Linked DNA regions of Daphnia pulex. The protein of the gene in region 1 binds, or shares a complex with, the protein of each later gene. Links are inferred from orthologs where the notes say so. Each region holds a gene or a part of one and is shown on either strand. Other genes may lie near its edges.

The links.
Region 2: nuclear export mediator factor NEMF-like (region 1) and transcription factor 25-like share a complex: the UniProt entries of both Homo sapiens proteins name them as parts of the ribosome quality control complex. The link is inferred for Daphnia pulex from reciprocal best matches to the Homo sapiens genes NEMF and TCF25.

The regions. Positions count from the first base shown.
Region 1 is NC_060026.1:6,925,866-6,928,214, forward strand, and holds the end of nuclear export mediator factor NEMF-like, read left to right. Parts: intron 1-79; coding exon 80-274; intron 275-336; coding exon 337-470; intron 471-529; coding exon 530-924; intron 925-989; coding exon 990-1,206; intron 1,207-1,260; coding exon 1,261-1,423; intron 1,424-1,491; coding exon 1,492-1,690; 3' UTR 1,691-1,745; downstream 1,746-2,349. UniProt on the Homo sapiens protein: Key component of the ribosome quality control complex (RQC), a ribosome-associated complex that mediates the extraction of incompletely synthesized nascent chains from stalled ribosomes as well as their ubiquitin-mediated proteasomal degradation.
Region 2 is NC_060022.1:854,764-857,828, forward strand, and holds the end of transcription factor 25-like, read right to left. Parts: coding exon 3,064-3,065; intron 1,097-3,063; coding exon 950-1,096; intron 885-949; coding exon 780-884; 3' UTR 599-779; downstream 1-598. UniProt on the Homo sapiens protein: Component of the ribosome quality control complex (RQC), a ribosome-associated complex that mediates ubiquitination and extraction of incompletely synthesized nascent chains for proteasomal degradation.

The DNA.
Region 1 (2,349 bases):
CGAAGTCTGTCGTCGAATAGCTTAAATGATTTTTACACCCAATTGTTCTAATTCTACATTTCTCAATGCATTATTCAAGTGCTGCATGGGAAGCCAAAGTAATGACTACAGCTTGGTGGGTTGAGAGTTCGCAAGTCAGCAAGACTGCTCCATCAGGAGAATATTTAACAACAGGATCTTTCATGATTAGAGGAAAGAAAAATTTTCTCCCTCCTTTACCTATCGTTCTTGGATTCGGACTTCTTTTTCGGTTGGAAGAAAGCAGTATTGCAAGGTAACAAGCAACTAAAATTGTTCTTGCGTTATGAACTTTTCTTATTTTAAATTCGTTAAAAGGCACTTGAATGATCGGAAGCCTAAAGCACTGGATGATGAATCACCTATTTTGGACACCGAAACCGTGGATGAGCCTGTTTCGTGTTCAAGTGACTCTGAAAGTGATGGAGATGAAAAAAATGATTATGCTAAATGTAAAAAAATTAGAAAAATTCATATATATTTGTGAATGTGACTTAATTTTATGTTACAGCGATAGAAAATGCCCGTGCTTTGCTTAGCTTATCTCGTGTTACCGACAACGCAGAAGTGGCCTTCCCCGATACTGTTGTAGATATGAGCACATCATCAGGAAACCGTAACAAAATTAAAGCTCTGAACGAAGATGAATCGTACACCATAATTGGAGATGTACTGACCATAAACAAAACTCAAAGAGATGGCAAAAAAGTAGAAGTAAAAGAGGAACCAATCAAGTCAAACCAGTCGTCTAAGAAAATGACAGAGTCGATTACTCAAGAAACGGAAGGTGAGAAAAATCAACAACCGACTTCGAAGCGGGGACAAAAAGGAAAAATGAAGAAAATAAAAGAAAAGTACAAGGATCAGGATGAAGATGAAAGACAACTCAAGATGGAGCTTTTACAGGTATTTCTATAATTAACTTTTTTTTTTCAAAAAGAAATCTTTCTTATGTATTTAAAAAATGTTAGTCCGCTGGTCCCGCTAGAGACAAAGGAAAGAACAAGAACAAGAAAAAAGGAAAGAATACTGAAACGAAGAAAGTTGTCTTCTCAAAGACAACCGTCCCAGGATTGAAAAAAGAAGAAATCCTCGTAGAGACAGAGGCAGTTCCAGTAAAAAGTGATGAGACGCCAGCCACTCAACAGCCAGCAACGGATCGGCAGTTGGCAACAGAACAGATCGTACTACTAATATTACTTTTATAAAGCATAACAATGGAATTCAATTAATTATTACTTAAGGAGGAAAATGCTGAAGGAGACGGCATAGATGAGGATGTTGATCAGCCCGTTATCACAGACACTGATATTTTGAACGCAATGACAGGAATTCCTCAACTTGAAGATGAATTACTTTATGTCATCCCGGTTGTAGCACCGTATTCTACTTTGATGCCCTACAAGTATTGATAGCAGAAGAATTACCATTATAATTTTTTATTTTCTAACAATATCTGTTTGCCCTTCAAAGATATAAGGTAAAAATCCTACCAGGACAAACTAAAAGAGGAAAGGCATCCAAGACGGCAATGTCGGTTTTCTTATCGGATAAAACTGCGACCAACAGGGAAAGGGATCTTATTAAGAGCTTGAAAGATCAAGATGTTGGACGTAATTTCCCTGGGCGAGTCAAGTTAGCTATACCCCAGTCTCTGAAGCCAAAAAAATAATTGTTACGACGCGAAATTTACTTTTCAAAAAGAATACACATTTTTGTCATTTTGATCGAATTTGTATTTCAAAGAAATAAATCGCCTGTCGGAATGGAAAAGAAATTTTTTTTTTAAATTGTTTTACAGATTTTTCAAGCGTAATAGTCTGGGAGCTGGGCGACCAAAAAATGTTTTTTCTTTAGCAAAAGGTTTGAAGCTAAAATATGGTTAGGGGGGGTATGACACACACGAAAAGCCAAGTCTGTCGACTGGCGGCCGGGGCGTTCAAGCGTGACGCGATCCCGAAGTCGGCGGGAACCGTAAAAAAATCAACTTTGTTTAGCAAGCCCAAATTTTCCCTAGAAAGCAAGTTAACATTATGTTGATCAATAATCCCGCAAGACAGACGTCAAATTACGGGACTATAATACCAACAGACCATCTTAAAAATTAATAAAACCGTAAATTTTTTCATTTTAGTTTAGAAAATCCAATTTTTACATTAAAAAATAGAGCAACATTTGATTTATAATAATCCCGGTAGACAGACGTCGATATCTGAGCCCTTGGGGGCACCAGACGTCGGTGTGTAACGGTTTTTCACGAACTTTCAGTCGTTATTTGATACCGGCAACGCTGTTTCGGATACCGGCAATGCTGTATCAAAGGCGCTTATT
Region 2 (3,065 bases), on another chromosome or scaffold:
AAACAGAGGAGAGAATTCCCAATTAGGGAGCAATTAAAACGACAGGGGAACATGTTCACTTTCTGACGTTCTTTTATAATTTTGGTTGTTGCCCTTATACTCGCCACTTGGCAAAGCTATCAGTACATTTTTTTTCGGTCTTCAATTATCGTACAGCGGCGAGACCTGATCAGAATATTCAAATTTATTTTAACGTAACATAAATTATTCACATTTTTTTTTTCATCCACGAAATCTATTTAGAATAGTTGCTCATTTTCCGTTGCGATGTTAGCGGTGTAACACGACGCCAGACTATTCATCTTCATAATGGGTTCATCTTTCATTTGATCCTGCATCATTTGAACCCGATGAACCTAAGCAGTCAAAAATCAGGTCCATTATATAGTCATAAATGTTTCTTTAATTTTTGGCTCATTGTGAAAACCTATTTGCATAATAATAGTATAAAATATTTCATAAAAACTTGCACAATGAAGGTCACCGTGTCGAAAACAGACCACCTTTCAAAGCAAAATGAATACCAATATAAAAATAATTCGGAAATCGGTGCTTTCTTTTAAGAGTTAACTTTCAAGTGAGTCTTGTATTTATAATGTAGGGCCTATCGAAAACAAATGTATTACAAAATGTTACATTTTGATACATTACTTCAGTACCCAGCATTGAAGTTAACTAAAATTTGGACGGAATAACAATATTCGAATAAATGGAATGTCGATTTTTATGCTTCACAATCCCCAACGGGGATGGGTTTGCTCATCATCTAGACGGATCACCTAGAGAACATTGGAAAGGCAAGACGGAGCGTTAAATCCGTTATGATTGCAAGCAACAGATCTTAGATTGGAAAGACTACTCCATTGCTTGCCATCATCAAACACCTGTAAAATACCCCCAAAATTAATAATCAGTTGGAAATATTATTAAAGTTAATAGTAATTTTCACCTTATCATAAACAACCCACGGGACAAAAGTGAGAGTAGGTTGCAGAGTTAAAGTTTCCGTTCCATGCGCCACAGCCAATTCTTGGCCCTCGCTAGTCTTCGTGCAGGTGTCAATCGGTGTAAAGTCCAAACCGGCTAATTCGGCGCACTATATGAAATGGAAATATTTATAAAATTTCTTCAATTTTCATTCGGAGAATCCCGTACTAACCTGAGCTCCAGAAGTTGGTGCTCTCATCAGACACGATGCGTAGTTCAGCGCCTTATTATTGAAATAGAATTTAGTTTCCCAAGCTTTTATGAAACCCACATGTACATTTCGAAAGAGATACCTGAGTGTTGTCTTTACTGTATTTGATACCGCAGGCGTGCAGGATATTTCCAGTGCACTCAGCCGAACCGTGTTGACACTTGAAGGACCATCCACCCGATGAGTTTTGGGAAAACTACAAACAATTGTCAAGTTCATTGTATAAACAGGCAATTTCTGATTGCAACAAAGAAATAATAATAACGGGACATAGGACATACGCTTGCTTTGCCAAAAGGGATCAGCCTGAGGTTGACGAAAGAGGAGAGACTTTTCCATTGCGGCGCCAACTGATTGACCAAGAAGGCCCGGCTGTCGGGACACAAGGACTCGTAGTAGACGTCCAGATTCGTTCGTCCACTATTTCCGAGCTATTAAATCATCAAAACATTATGAAGGCACAGTCACGACTCACGAGTAAGAAATTAAAATCCAAACTGTCAACTAGATAAATTGAGCTATGCGAGGATGGAATGGCAGAGAAAATCATTTTTAAAGTTTCAGCTGTGTGACAAAACAAAAAGAATAAAACCCAACAAATATTTGAGGTTCAGCCGGAATGCGACGTGCGAGATTGATGAAATTCTTCGAGCAAAATAGTTGCCTACTATACAATTTCTATCACTTCCCTGAAATTCTGGCGTCAAGGTAGTTTTCAATACCTCCGCATGATTTCCAGCGGGGATGGCGCAGTCTATTGACCTTGGGTCCATGAGCCTTGCCTCTCCCCGGAGCTTTTTTTTCTTTTTTTAATTATTTCTTTCCTCTTATGTTTTTCTTAGGTGTTGTTTTGTTTTTACAATTTTAAGGTTAAACGAGAAAAAGGGGCGTGCCAACTTGCAAGGAAAATATTACACAATTTTTTTACAACACTTAAAATAACAAATCTTATAAATTAAGAAAAACAAGAAAATTATTAAACAATGTTTTACTTTAAATATATGAGCCAATTAAAATTAAAAATCTGAAATTAATTGACAATAATTAATTGTTATGCAAAATGATTACCCCAGCAGTGTTGACAAAGCTGACGCACAGCAAGGCAGAGGCTAACAAAAACTTGAACATTTTGGCAACTCACAAGGTGAAGTCTACAAGAAAGTTGAATTCAAGCACCGTCTGCAAGCACGTCCACTCTCTCCCGGAACTTGCTGAGCAATGTCTGCATATTCGAGCGAGCCGAACGACCAAGGCTATACATGTTATCCACTCCTCGATTCCTATTCTTTTCGCCTCTCACTGATCAAACAGGTGTGCTGAAGTGAGAGTCGAGCTGGACGCCAGCTGTGAATGTTTTCACGCGTGCATTGTAAACGAAACAACGGATCTTTTTTTTTTCAAATAATACAAAATTGTCCCAACAAAAAAGACTATTCTTCGTTGAAGTTGGCGCCAATAAACTGAAACTAGAACAAATCCATTACGATATTCTGGACAAAATCGAGGTCGCCAATTTACAGCTAAAATGTGCTGTGCTCTATTTCCTGGTTGAAACGCCCGTTGGTATCAGAATTTTCAAGGCGTGGCACTTGAGCGCCAAAAAAGTGCTACCCAATTGAACTAAAATACCAAAATGGCCATTCTGATCTTATTTCATTGAAGGCAGACTTACAGAATAAGGAACAACAAATCGTGTTACTTCCACCCCAGTGTAAAATAAGAATAATGTAACAAAATTGTATAGTACAGACACACTGCCATCAGTCAGAGTGATCGTCTTCATCATCGTTTGAATCGTTGAAAGGAAGATCGGGAAGCTGAATGTTGCTCAGCAAGTCACGCATGGCCGCCACCAATGTGGCAACGC